Xenopus tropicalis: one gene and its partner. The protein of the gene in region 2 binds, or shares a complex with, the protein of the main gene of each other region. Links are inferred from orthologs where the notes say so. Each region holds a gene or a part of one and is shown on either strand. Other genes may lie near its edges.

The links.
Region 1: the proteins of mfsd1 (region 2) and glmp are in contact, whole or in part, in a cryo-EM structure (PDB 8R8Q), measured with the Mus musculus proteins. The link is inferred for Xenopus tropicalis from reciprocal best matches to the Homo sapiens genes MFSD1 and GLMP. Residues at the interface, in NP_080089.1 of Mus musculus: Val288, Glu292, Lys293, Arg295, Phe349, Phe351, Leu411, Asp412, Lys414, Gly415, Tyr416, Leu417, Leu418, Val421, Ile424, Ser428, Leu432, Val435, Leu439; in NP_064387.1 of Mus musculus: Glu250, Asn252, Ser253, Ile254, Asp255, Asp256, Glu257, Pro260, Ala261, Phe263, Gln264, Arg292, Phe364, Leu367, Val368, Ile371, Met372, Ala375, Ala378, Leu381, Met382, Gly385, Phe389.

What each region holds. Positions count from the first base shown.
Region 1 is NC_030684.2:142,075,999-142,083,667, forward strand, and holds the start of glmp (glycosylated lysosomal membrane protein), read left to right. Parts: upstream 1-3,156; 5' UTR 3,157-3,361; intron 3,362-3,493; 5' UTR 3,494-3,599; coding exon 3,600-3,680; intron 3,681-7,669. Other genes in the region: cct3 (T-complex protein 1 subunit gamma), read left to right, coding at 196-376, 456-701, 1,213-1,344, 1,798-1,914. UniProt on the Homo sapiens protein: Required to protect lysosomal transporter MFSD1 from lysosomal proteolysis and for MFSD1 lysosomal localization.
Region 2 is NC_030681.2:115,200,543-115,207,473, reverse strand, and holds part of mfsd1 (major facilitator superfamily domain-containing protein 1), read left to right. Parts: intron 1-2,359; coding exon 2,360-2,472; intron 2,473-2,887; coding exon 2,888-2,930; intron 2,931-3,239; coding exon 3,240-3,307; intron 3,308-3,709; coding exon 3,710-3,818; intron 3,819-4,217; coding exon 4,218-4,320; intron 4,321-5,103; coding exon 5,104-5,202; intron 5,203-6,008; coding exon 6,009-6,120; intron 6,121-6,931. UniProt on the Homo sapiens protein: Lysosomal dipeptide uniporter that selectively exports lysine, arginine or histidine-containing dipeptides with a net positive charge from the lysosome lumen into the cytosol.

The sequences.
Region 1 (7,669 bases), on a different chromosome or scaffold from region 2:
CCTGCTTCTATACCGACGGGGGGCCCCAGTTAGGTGGGATTTGGAGAACACCAGTGACCCTTATCCATTGGGGCCTTCAGGGAAGTAATGAGGTTTGGGGGGGCTCAGTCAGCCCTGGCAATGGGGCAATAAACGGCAGTGGGGACAGTTTTCTTTGCTGTACTTGACCTTCCTGCCCCGTCCTGTTCCCGGCAGAGCCTGTGGCGCTCGCATAGGCAGCCGCACAGACGAGCTGCGCGAAGAAGACGTCGGAACTGGCGCCGGGCTCTTCGAAATCAAGAAGATCGGAGATGAGTATTTCACCTTCATCACCGAGTGCAAGGACCCCAAAGCCTGCACCATTGTCCTGCGCGGAGCCAGCAAAGAGATCCTGGCAGTAAGTGCCTCCCAGCATCCTCTGCTTTTCTCCGCCCCCCCCCCCTTTTTTTTTTTTTAACCTTATTCCTTTCCCGCAGGAGGTAGAGCGTAACCTGCAGGATGCCATGCAAGTCTGTCGCAACGTGGTCATCGACCCTCACCTGGTGCCGGGGGGTGGAGCTGCCGAGATGAGCGTGGCTCATATCCTCACTGAGAAATCCAAGACCATGACGGGGGTGGAGCAATGGCCGTACCGCGCAGTGGCCCAGGCCCTCGAGGTCATACCCAGGACTCTCGTACAGAACTGCGGCGCCAGCACCATCCGTGTACTCACGTCTCTGAGGGTAAGTCCCAGGGAAATTCTGCAGCTTCATTGGCCGGTATATAAAGGCTTTTAAAGGGGAAGGAAAGGTGGAACCAACAAATGTATTTGTAGCTGTAATATTGGTGTGTAGGCGCCATCTCAGTGCATTGTGCCTGAGTCTGAGCTTTCAGCCAGCGCTACCCATTAGAACTGCTTTCAGCTAACCTATTGTTTCTCCTACTCCCATGTAACTGGAGGAGTCCCAAGCCGGACTTGGATTTCTTACTATTGAGTGCTATTCCGATACCTACTGGGAGATGCTATCTTGCTCCCTTCCCATTGTTCTGCTGATCGGCTGCTGGGGGTGAGGGGGGGGATATCACTCCAACTTGCAGTGCAGCAGTAAAGTGTGAGTGAAGTTTAATGAAGACTGAAGAAATTGGCAGACTCCACCTTTCCTTCTCCTATAAGCTGGGCCAGTAACTTGCGTGGGGCTGCATTTAGAGTCCCACCGTGTCCCCCAATAATATCCCTGCCGCTCTGTTCCCCAGGCCAAACACACACAGGAAGGCTGCCAGACCTGGGGAGTGGATGGGGAGGCCGGAGTTCTGGTCGACATGAAGGAATTGGGCATCTGGGAGCCGCTGGCTGTCAAGCTGCAAACCTACAAAACTGCAGTGGAGGTAAGGCCTGATGGGTAGTTAACCCTTCCCATGCTGCCCACTTTTGCACCGCACAGAATCTAGTTCTGGTATTGGTTCTGTAGATGTGTTCTGGGTGGGAATGAAGGGTTAATGGTAGCAATTAAGTTACTTTTCATTTACGCACGCTCAGGGGAGGGGGGGGTGTGAAGGCTGCGCAGGGGGGCCCATTGGGCTGTGTGAATTATATAGATGAGCCCCACACTCTTTGCCAGGGTCGGACTGGGGGGGGGTAGAGGGCCCACTGTGGCTATTGCCTTAGGGGCCCCTGAACCCCCCAGTCCAGCTCTGGCAAAAGGTGTGGGGCTCATCTATATAATTCGCATACAGAACATGCCCGGGTTTATATTTATAAAGCTGGACAAGACGGTGAAAACAAAATGGCGGGCGTGGGGGCTATAATTTTTTACAGTCGCATTGTTTCCTTCCCCACAGACGGCCATTCTGCTGCTCCGCATTGACGACATCGTATCGGGCCACAAGAGAAAGGGAGAAGACCACGGCAGGCAGCCGGCAGCCCCCGGCCCACAGGCCCCCCCAGAAGCAGAATGAGGAGGGAGAGTAAAGGACGGAACGGCGCCGGCGTCCCACCGAAGCACTTGAACAGCTTTATTTTATTTTTTTCATTAAAGCTGTTGTCTCCGCCCACCGCCTCTGTATCCGCATCCTGGCAGGGCGGAAACGTTCTATTTATTACGGTGTGGGAGGAGCCTGACGGGAGGCTTAGGGGAGATTGTAAGAGAAACATCTATGTAACGATTCGCTACCGACAATAAAACTTCGTTTGGATTCCACTTGTGTGTGTTTGCCTGATTTATGGGGTGTCATTTGTATAAACCTGCACCCCGAAAATATATATAATAGATCTAAATTAGACTATTCCCCATAGGTGTATAATGCAATGATGCTTTACTTACCCTTTAAATAGGAAAAGGTGTGTTTTTTTTTTTTTTTTTTTTTTGACAAATCTGAAGTAGTGTAACATTTTGCTGCTGTATTTGAAACCCGGGGGGAGGGGGGGCACAGCTTCTATTGGGATAAATGATTCGGCAGCTAGAGGACAGGGTTTCATTGATGTTTAAAGGGGAAATAAAGCCTTTGTAATATTCCTGCTAAAACGAGCAATGTGTAATATACAAGTGTGTTTGGGTGTGTCCCAAGGTTCCTACCCCAGATGCAGCACAGTATGGTGTGGGCGGGGGGGGCTCAGTATTTTGCAATGATTTAAACTGATCTCTTATAGAAAATCATATAGTTAAATGCACAAGTCCAGGGGCACAAAGGCAAAGTGGGTCCCCTCTCTGCTCTCTCACTAGCTTTTTGCACTATCCTGGGCATGCTCAGTGCTGCCGATGTGCGTCCTATGTGTACAGACCAATCCCTTGGCTCTGCTATGGATATGGGGGCATGACTGGGGTTCATAGAGGCCTTAGAATGAAGCAAGTTGCTGGGTGTGATTACATCAGGTTGGGTTAATACTAAATGTGTAATGCTTGGTTGGACTCTCTGGGGTGGGGGACACCAAAGTCTGACAGCCCCATATGACAGAGGCAGTTTGGGAAATGGGGAATGTTTATTATAGAGTGTATTACCGGTGAGCGACCAATGAGCAATTGGATTTTAACACCTACAAGTTGGAAAACAAAAGCTCTGATTGGTTGCTATGGGCAACATCACCCACCCATGTTTCTAGCCATTTGGCTACCATTTGTGGGGTAATTGCCCCCCCCCCCCCCCCACTTCCCTATATAATATATAGTCCTTGCGTCTCCCCATAGAGGGGGCAAATGCCTGAGGGGCAGCAGTAAGAGCCATAGGCAATTGGGCAGTTTGAGTCTCTCCCAGCCGGGGCCCGTACCCCCCGCAGAGCCCTGTATTGGGCAAAGGCCGCCTGACAGACCCCGGCTTTATATTGGGCTATTGCGGCCTCCGTATGTTACTGGCTCTGCCCGCACTCACTGGGGCCAATCGGCCCGCAAGCGATCCCTGAGCGCCAAGAGCAGCGCCTGTCTGCCCCGGGGCATCATGGGAGTCAGCGCCTGTCTGCCCCGGGGCATCATGGGAGTCAGTGCCTGTCTGCCCCGGGGCATCATGGGAGTCAGCGCCTGTCTGCCCCGGGGCATCATGGGAGTCAGCGCCTGTCTGCCCCGGGGCATCATGGGAGTCAGCGCGTCACCTGACTGATCATGTGACAAGCCGGAAGCGATACCGGGGAAACAGAAGCGGCAGTCGGGGAAATGGCTAGTGACCGGGGGTGGCGGCTGCTCCTGTTCGGGCTCCTGTGTGTAGGGGCCCTGGGGCAGGAGCAGAGCCGGGAGGTGAGTCTGTTCTGTATTATACAGGGGTAAGTAGGGGAGGGGCATTATACAGGGGTATGTAGGGGAGGGGGCATTATACAGGGGTAAGTAGGGGAGGGGGGCATTATACAGGGGTATGTAGGGGAGGGGCATTATACAGGGGTATGTAGGGGAGGGGGCATTATACAGGGGTATGTAGGGGAGGGGCATTATACAGGGGTATGTAGGGGAGGGGGGCATTATACAGGGGTATGTAGGGGGGGGGGCATTATACCAGGGGTATGTAGGGGAGGGGGGCATTATACAGGGGTTATGTAGGGGAGGGGGCATTATACAGGGGTATGTAGGGGAGGGGGCATTATACAGGGGTATGTAGGGGAGGGGGGCATTATACAGGGTATGTAGGGGAGGGGGGCATTATACAGGGGTATGTAGGGGAGGGGGCATTATACAGGGGGTATGTAGGGGAGGGGGGCATTATACAGGGGTATGTAGGGGAGGGGGCATTATACAGGGGTATGTAGGGGAGGGGGCATTATACAGGGGTATGTAGGGGAGGGGGCATTATACAGGGGTATGTAGGGGGGGGGGGCATTATACAGGGGTATGTAGGGGAGGGGGCATTATACAGGGGTATGTAGGGGAGGGGGCATTATACAGGGGTATGTAGGGGAGGGGGGCATTATACAGGGGTATGTAGGTGGAGGGGGGCATTATACAGGGGTATGTAGGGGAGGGGGGCATTATACAGGGGTATGTAGGGGAGGGGGCATTATACAGGGGTATGTAGGGGAGGGGGGCATTATACAGGGGTATGTAGGGGAGGGGGCATTATACAGGGGTATGTAGGGGAGGGGGGCATTATACAGGGGTATGTAGGGAGGGGTATTATACAGGGGTATGTAGGGGAGGGGCATTATACAGGGGTAAGTAGGGGAGGGGGGCATTATACAGGGGTATGTAGGGGAGGGGGGCATTATACAGGGGTATGTAGGGGAGGGGGGCATTATACAGGGGTATGTAGGGGAGGGGGGCATTATACAGGGGTATGTAGGGGAGGGGGGCATTATACAGGGGTATGTAGGGGAGGGGGGCATTATACAGGGGTATGTAGGGGAGGGGGGCATTATACAGGGGTATGTAGGGGAGGGGCATTATACAGGGGTAAGTAGGGGAGGGGGGCATTATACAGGGGTATGTAGGGGAGGGGGGCATTATACAGGGGTATGTAGGGGAGGGGGCATTATACAGGGGTATGTAGGGGAGGGGGCATTATACAGGGGTATGTAGGGGAGGGGCATTATACAGGGGTATGTAGGGGAGGGGGGCATTATACAGGGGTATGTAGGGGAGGGGCATTATACAGGGGTATGTAGGGGCATTATACAGGGGTATGTAGGGGAGGGGCTTTATACAGGGGTAAGTAGGGGAGGGGGCATTATACAGGGGTATGTAGGGGCATTATACAGGGGTATGTAGGGGAGGGGCTTTATACAGGGGTAAGTAGGGGAGGGGGCATTATACAGGGGTATGTAGGGAGGGGCATTATACAGGGGTATGTAGGGGAGGGGCATTATACAGGGGTATGTAGGGGAGGGGGCATTATACAGGGGTATGTAGGGGAGGGGGGCATTATACAGGGGTAAGTAGGGGAGGGGGGGCATTATACAGGGGTATGTAGGGGAGGGGGCATTATACAGGGGTATGTAGGGGAGGGGCATTATACAGGGGTATGTAGGGGAGGGGGCATTATACAGGGGTATGTAGGGGAGGGGGCATTATACAGGGGTATGTAGGGGAGGGGGCATTATACAGGGGTATGTAGGGAGGGGCATTATACAGGGGTATGTAGGGGAGGGGGCATTATACAGGAGTATGTAGGGGAGGGGGCATTATACAGGGGTATGTAGGGGAGGGGGCATTATACAGGGGTATGTAGGGGAGGGGGCATTATACAGGGGTATGTAGGGGAGGGGCATTATACAGGGGTATGTAGGGGAGGGGGCATTATACAGGGGTATGTAGGGGAGTGGGTAGTACGACATGCAGGGAAGAAAGGGTTAATGGAAGGAATGCAGCTGCCAGCGAATCAGAAAGCAGAAGTGGCTGTGCTGGGACAAAGGGAACCAGAGGACACACAGAGCTGTGATTGGGCATGTCATTAACCCCTTCAGCTCCTCCCAGTACTGTAGCACTAATGGTTTGGCACAGCAGTAGCACAGAATGCCCCTCTAGCCCCGCCCCATGTAACTGCCCCCTGCTGCCTGATACCTAGTGCTGGGCGGTATGACCAAAAATTTATATCACGGTATTTTTCAAAATTATATCGGTATCACGGTATTTGACGGTATTTTTTTTCCCCCATGCATGATTAGGTGACCACCCCAAACACCCGCCACCCGCACCCCCCCGCCACCCCAAACACCCCCCCATCCGCACGCAGCCCCCCCACCCCCCCATCCGCACGCACCCCCCCACCCCAAACACCCCCCATCCGCACGCACCCCCCCCCACCCCCACGCACCCCCCCCACCCCAAACACCCCCCCATCCGCACACACACCCCCCACCCCACCCCAAACACCCCCCATCCCCTTCACATAAATATAACCCCCCACCCCACCCCCCCCAAACACCCCCCCATCCCCTTCACATAAGTATAACCCACCCACCCCCACCCCAAACACCCCCCCATCCCCTTCACATAAATATAACCCCCCACCCCACCCCACCCAAACACAACCCCATCCCCTTCACATAAGTATAACCCACCCACCCCCACCCATCCCCTTCACATAAAATATAATTACTGGCCAGGAACCCCCCGACAGCTCACATTGGTATCCGACTCTGAATGCGTCCTAGTGATGGCGCTTTTGTAGAGTGTGCGCGCTGACGTCACGTGCGCACCCGGAAGTATTCAGCACACCGGTATGGGGGTATGTAGAAAATTCATATCGGTTTCAAAAAAACAAAACGGTGATCGGTTTTTACCGGTATACCGCCCAGCACTACTGATACCCATGTATTGTGGGGGTGCCGACAAGCCCCCCCAGTCTCATAGAACTATAACTAATAACCATGTTGTGCCCCCCAGTCTCACAGAACTCCTACTAATACCCATGTTGTGCCCCCCAGTCTCACAGAACTCCTACTAATACCCATGTTGTGCCCCCCAGTCTCACAGAACTCCTACTAATACCCATGTTGTGCCCCCAGTCTCACAGAACTCCTACTAATACCCATGTTGTGCCCCCAGTCTCACAGAACTCTAATACCCATGTTGTGCCCCCAGTCTCACAGAACTCCTACTAATACCCATGTTGTGCCCCCCAGTCTCACAGAAACTCCTACTAATACCCATGTTGTGCCCCCCAGTCTCACAGAACTCATACTTATACCCATGTTGTGCCCCCCAGTCTCACAGAACTCATACTAATACCCATGTTGTGCCCCCCAGTCTCACAGAACTCCTACTAATACCCATGTTGTGCCCCCCAGTCTCACAGAACTCCTACTAATACCCATGTTGGTGCCCCCAGTCTCACAGAACTCCTACTAATACCCATGTTGTGCCCCCCAGTCTCACAGAACTCCTACTAATACCATGTTGTGCCCCCCAGTCTCACAGAACTCCTACTAATACCCATGTTGTGCCCCCCAGTCTCACAGAACTCCTACTAATACCCATGTTGTGCCCCCCAGTCTCACAGAACTCCTACTAATCCCCATGTTGTGCCCCCCAGTCTCACAGAACTCCTACTAATACCCATGTTGTGCCCCCCAGTCTCACAGAACTCCTACTAATACCCATGTTGTGCCCCCCAGTCTCACAGAACTCATACTTATACCCATGTTGTGCCCCCCAGTCTCACAGAACTCCTACTAATACCCATGTTGTGCCCCCCAGTCTCACAGAACTCCTACTAATACCCATGTTGTGCCCCCCAGTCTCACAGAACTCCTACTAATACCCATGTTGTGCCCCCCAGTCTCACAGAACTCCTACTA
Region 2 (6,931 bases):
CCTTATGGGTGGACCCTTTCACAGATTAAGAATCCATCAAATTAATTGTAGGGGTATTCTACAGCCCCCCCCAATGTAAATAAAGAGGAAGCTCCTGTTGCAAATAGAAAAAAGGCTACTAGATTGCGGTGAGTAATGATAATGGGGGATTTTGAAGGTGTTTACCTTTAAATTTTAGTATGATGTAGAGAGTGCTATTTGAGACAATTTGCAATTGGTCTTCATTTATTATTAATTGCGGTTTTTAAATTATTTAGCATTTCAGCAGCTCTCCAGTTTGGAATTTAAGCAGCTGTCTGGTTGCTATGGTCCAGTTTAACTTAGCAACCAGGCAGGGGTTTGAATGAGAGACTGGGATATGAATAGTAAGAGGGTCAAAATAAAAAAGTACCGTATATACTCAAGTATAAGCCGAGTTTTTCAGCACGAAAAATGTGCTTAAAAACTCATGCTCAGCTTATACTCGAGTGAATATAGGCTGCGCTGGCATTCGGTGCGTACGCCACACACCCATCCCCCCCCGTGTGCGGGGTGTGGCATACGCGCCGAATGCCAGCGCAGCCTGAAGAGCTATAGGAAACCTTTGCCTTTTCTTTGAGGAAGGAGCTCTCCAAAAAAGCAGCTAACTTGCTCCTGGCACCTGAAATTCTATCTCTGACATACTGCACTGACAACACCAGAATGAGAGGTAGGAAAGGAAGGAGAGATGCATAGCATCCAGGGTTGGTGCTAAAGTATCTGATTGCTGGCCACCAGCACAGATTGGAAGTTTTAGCCATACCTTTAGGGCTAATCAACTGGATGTATATTTTATGTTTTCTTACTATATAATTTTACATTAGGCCATTTCCAGTCTTCATGCTTTCTCCTTTTTTTCTAGTTTTTTTTTCTAGAAGAGGACAAATTAAGATTGCTGTATTATCATAGCATATGTCTGAATCTAGCCAAGGCGTGTATAAGATCTTTACCTAGAAATTCTGACAAGCAGCAGTTGAGAACACTGCTCTGATTGGTGGGAGATTCAGTGCTTTGCTCACAGTAGCTAGGCATCGGGCACAGCCTTCCAGATGGGAGTGAGTAAAATTATTTTAGGCTCCATCCACCTTTCCCTAATCACCTTTCCCTAATCTGCAGCTGCCAACATTTTATATTTATTATGAGTTGACATGGGGTCACGCTGAGTGTCCTTTATTAATTATTTGATTATTGAAACTTAGCAGTAGCTGCTGCATTTCCCACCCTAGGCTTATACTCGAGTCAATAAGTTTTTACAGTTTTCTTAGGTAAAATTAGGTACCTCGGCTTATATTCGGATCGGCTTATATACAGTAATAAAAAGTGACAATAACATTGTAGCCTCACAGAGTAATCATTTATGGCCTGTTGGGGTCAGTGACCCCCATTGGAAAGCTGGAAAGAATCAGAAAAGAGAGGCAAATAATTGCAAAAATATAAAAAATGAAGACCAATTGAAAAGTTGCTAAGAACAGGCCATTCTATAACATACTAAAAATTAACCTGCAGGTGAACCACCCCTTTATTACTCAGGTGTAAACTGGCAAATGTGCAAGTAGTGGAAACCCTGGGTAATAATGACTATAATGTTATCTCATTTAATGTTTGGAGTTAAAAGCACATATACAGTGGGGCAACAAAGATTCTGAATTTCAGAAAAGTAAATTTTAGCTCCTTGCGGGCAGTACTTCAGAGCATAGTTTGTGGTGGTACGTTTTCTTCTGAAAACACAAAACAGAAATGGTTGTAATTTTAAATGATGTTAAATCAATAATATTCTGGATATACTTTAAAAAGTAAATGTAGGACCTTTAAGGACAACCCTAGGGGGCCGATTCATTAAAACACGAGTTCGAATCCCGAAAAATTCGGATTGGAATACGATAATTTCTGAAGATCGCAAATATCACGAAAATGCTTACGAAAAAATCGGATTAGTCACGATAATAGCGGATGGGCAATCCGAAAGTCACGAAATTTTCATACCGAACGATTGTAAACAGCGGCAGAACGTTTCTGAATTTTTCACGCACGTGCACGAAAGAGTCTTGCAAGCGTACGAAAAAGTGGTGCAGGCGCGAAAAAATCGGTGAAAATACGCTTGGAGCGTTCGTGTCTTAATAAATCTCCCCCTATGTGTAAATCTGTAAGTAAAGTAAATCAGTGCTTTGTGCTCTGCCAGCTTTGTTAAAATGAGCCCTGCAGGGCACAGCAGTCCTAGTGGAGGGCTAATCTGATGGCCTGCCTTGCTTAAAACAGACCAATTGTTGCTGAACAATTTTTTTTTTTTGAATAATCTGAATCTGAATAATTTGTTTGTTTTTTTTTGTTTTTTTAAATAAAGGATATGAAGGTGAACACAGCAGACTTTATGCAATTATATGCATTTTACTCTTGGCCCAATGTTGTACTGTGTTTTTTTGGAGGATTTCTGATTGACCGAGTTTTTGGAATTAGGTAAGCTTGCTTCCATTTGGTATTCATTCTTAAGTTTGAAATGAATGTATAAGACAGTAATGAGACAGTGTGCCTTAGAGGTGATATATAGTGAAAATGAAAAATATATGTATAGCAGTATTACAACTAACATGAATTGTAATAACGGCGCCATTTTAATATTTGTTACAAATATTTTCGACCTATTAAAAATCGTATTTATTGTCATCTGTGCAGTGATTAAAGGTGTGGTCCATAGCCATGATTAATGGTGTGGTTCTGCACAGCACTTGATCACACTTTCCCATAAAGATCCTGTGGCATTACCCTAAAATAATATTGCTGATGTACTGATAAGCTTTCATATATGTTGATGGCAAGTTACTGAATAAATATTTCAAAGGTGATTGATACTATTGTTTGTTTGTTTCCATAGGCTGGGCACCATAATATTTAGTTTGTTTGTTTGTGTAGGACAGGTAAGCATAACTTTTTATAAAGTAATGTATATATCACACTCAAGTGGCAATAATAATGAAAAAGTTTTAGCCTGTCATTTGCTTGCATATTTCCTGTTAAAGTAACAGTAATACCAGGTCCTATACCTGTACCTATAAAAAATAATTTAAATATTATTTAACACTGATAAACAAAACGTCATATTTTCACCTGGTTAGACATTCCAATTATGAACCCATCAGTCCTTTTAAGCTGATTCAAAGGTGAGTCTGGAGTTTCTGTACCCTGGAAAGGCAATCTGTGATTATTGTATTGTTGTTACTTCCTAGGTCATATTTGCAACAGGAGCTTTAGTTAATGCATTTTGGCTGATGGAAGCTGGGCGATTAGTGTTTGGGTGAGTATAAAAGTGTACCGTCCCTAGGAATTACAAACTTCTAGGGATTATGCCAGTTGTTGTATTGTGAACCTATCCACCGAGCACTTTCGTTATGACATCCTGATGCCAGGATGCTTTTGAGCTCCCCCCACAGCTGTGAGCTGTATGAGTGCGCTACAAGTTACTCAACCCCTTTATCCAAGCAGAGAATGCAGATATTCTAGATGTTGCTGTAACCTGTGATATAGGGGCAGAATAACATTATACCTGTGAAAATTATGGGATTTCGAAAGAGAGGGAAGCAGCATTTGTGAACAGATTTGCATGCTATGTGGCTACTAAATGATAATAATTACAACATACTTTTTGCACACCCACTATTTCCCCTTGCCTTATGGTATTCCTTCTCTTAACTTGCAGAATTGGTGGAGAGTCACTAGCTGTTGCACAAAATACCTATGCAGTCAGTTGGTTCAAAGGAAAAGAACTGAACCTGGTATTTGGCCTGCAGCTTAGTATGGCTAGAGTGGTAAGTTCCAATAGTCCAATCTGAAGTTTAACCCCTTCATAGCCACAGCAGCAAGAACAAATCATGACTGCCGGATTTGTCACTACATTCATTCATGCCACAATTGGCACCTTTCATACATTTATAGTCTTCATTTATCTATAAGTGCACAGGCATTATATATAGGTTTAGTAGCTTTGAACCTGTAAAAGCATGCTGTTCTTCTTTGCACACATCCTGCCCATCCAGTTCCATTGTTATCAGAGGATTTCTATGATATACAGTGGTGCTTGAAAGTTTGTAAACCCATTATACCATTAAACCCATATATATATATATATATATTATTTTGGATTTTGCTTTAAATTTTATTTACAAATTTTAATGAACACATCAATTAATGATAGTTTTGATTTTCAGGGCAGCACGGTTAATATGAATGTTATGGGTCTTGTATACAGTAGGATAAAGGATCACATGGGTGCTGCTGGCTACAGTACACTTGGTGTCACCCTTATGATTGGTAAGTTTGTGTGGTGATGGTTGAAAGATACTCAGCGTAAAGCAGTGTGACTTTCTTGGGAAGTAGATTATGGTTAAACATGTACCATTTGTTAGGTTCGATATTGAAAGATTTACAGTTGTACAGTCCATGTTAAAGGTACACAGACCTTCTTAATTTATATTTTGTAAGTTATCTTTAGAATGTTTTTTTTGATTAAACAGATCTGATGGCCTTGCCATTAGTAACAGTCTCCACAGCCCATGTGCCTAAAATACAAGCAACAAGATTCTTTTTCGATGCATTAATGCTTTAAGGTGTGCTTGGCCAAAAAATTTGTTTATGCCATGCAACATATTATAATATATATAATCACATAAATATGTAAATAGTAATTTGAAGCTTTATATTTGATGCAGTTACTCCGTCATGGCTCTGTATTTCACAGCCGAATACACATACTAGTCTACAAATTATGGGCAGAGAGATGGTCATCATCATTTATATAGCGCCAGCAAGTTACTTAGTGCTTTACATTAATTTATAGCAAACAGGAGTCTTAAAATAATTTAACAAACAAGGTTTCATGAGTAAAAATAAAATCAGAGGGCCCTAATCTCAAGAGCTTGCAGTCTAAAGAGTCATGAAGTTTCTGGATCTCATTTGACCCCCTGATACATTAAACAATCAGAAATGTGGTGGAAAGTAATCTGACTGAGAGAGATAAAACGACGGGAGTTAGAGGAATATTAAAGAACAGTATGCGTATGAGTTTCATACACCCTTCTTTTATTTGACTTGCAGGGGCTGTAACCTGTATTTTCTCTCTAATATGTGCTCTTGTACTTGGCTATCTGGACAAACGTGCTGAAAAAATACTCGACAAAGAACAGGGGAAAACAGGTTAGTTGAGAGAGCCTAACTAGTAGAAATGTGAATATCTGTGCAGGATGCTACCCTCATGTTGTTAATTTAAATTTGAAAGAAACAATGAATGCTGCTGAATACATGTATGGGAATCTCTTATCTGTAAACCAAATATCCAGGAAACTTCAATAATAATAATTCTAGTTATTTTTAAATAATTCTTTTTTCTCTGTAATAATAAAATAGTACCAAGTACTTGATGGTAACTAAGCTGCATAAATTAACATTGGTGGCAAAACAATCCTATAGTTTTTTTTATATCTTTTATGTTTTAAGCAATAAAATAATACAACCATTAAACAGTTATTTGTTTTACAAAATAGTAATAATCCTATTTTTTTTATGTTTAAATACTTTTCTGTAGACTTGGTATGGTGATCCACATTACATAAAACCCCTAATCCCAAGCATTTCGGACAATAGATCCCATACCTGTATATAATTTGTTTTTTTGAAAGTTGTTTGTATTTATTTTCCTCTGCCACATAACAGTTGCATAGCCTTTGTGAATTGAATTCAGTAGACAGTCTGAGGCAATACATTATGAACCAGGTCTTTCTGTGAACTGCAGGTTTACCCTGCAAAAAGAAATCTGTAGAAAGTGTTACTTTAGGAAAGCACCTACAGCTTGGCAATTTAAGAAACCTTTAACATCAGAGATTTACAGAATAATGTGCATAAATAGCTAAAATACTAGATTTATTAGGGCAATCGTTCATTTTGTATAGAAAGAATATATAATGTGTATATTAACTTTCCTTTTGCATATGTTCGTTTGTCAGGTGAAGTTATACAGCTGACGGATGTTAAGGATTTTTCCCTTTCCCTGTGGCTGATCTTTATCATCTGTGTGTGTTATTATGTTGCTGTGTTTCCTTTTATTGGGCTGGGAAAGTAAGTTGGTTTCAGTTATGTAATGATTTATGGATTTACAGCTATGTAATAGTTTTTAAAAATGGTATAGTATATTGACAATTTTTCAGTTCTTAAGTAAAGGAGAACTAAAAGATCTTAACTGCAGAAATTCGGCAGCCCTATGATAGTAATGCTTCAAAGTTGTTCACAGCAATTACCCATTTTTGATCTTTTTTAAGAACTTTGATCTTTTATAAGTGTGAGTGGCATTGCACATGCTCAGTGAGGCCTAGGCTGCTGTTAAGAATCAAAAAATGCCCTCCCCTTTAAACAAAACAGGGATTGTTTGTCCATATATTGCAATATATTATATCAAGCATTTGTTGGTAGTTTAATGCACAAAGGGCAACCATTTGGGAGTTTTGAACCCTGGAAAGCAAGAATGTTGCAGGTAATACTTCGTTCCAATGAAAATGTATTTTAGAATTCTTAATGATTTAGAGAAAAGGCAGTGTAGGATTGGCAAGACCAGGGTTGCCTTTGACATGATTGGGCAGGCAGTCCTTAAAAAAAAAAAAAAAAAAAAAAAGAGCACACAAAGAAAAACTCCCATAGTGTGTCTCCAATGGTATAATTACAGGGCTTACCAGTTAACCAAAGAGCTCACACTCTCACCTTTATACTCACAAGCACAATGTTAAGGAATGCTTTTCAAAAGACAACTTGATCCCTTGATTCAGCAATATCAAAGGAGAAGAAGCTGACTGCTATGATGACTCAGAAAAAAATTATAAGTAGCCTTGAGACTTAAATGTTAATTGTGGGTCTACATAGATATATATAATATATC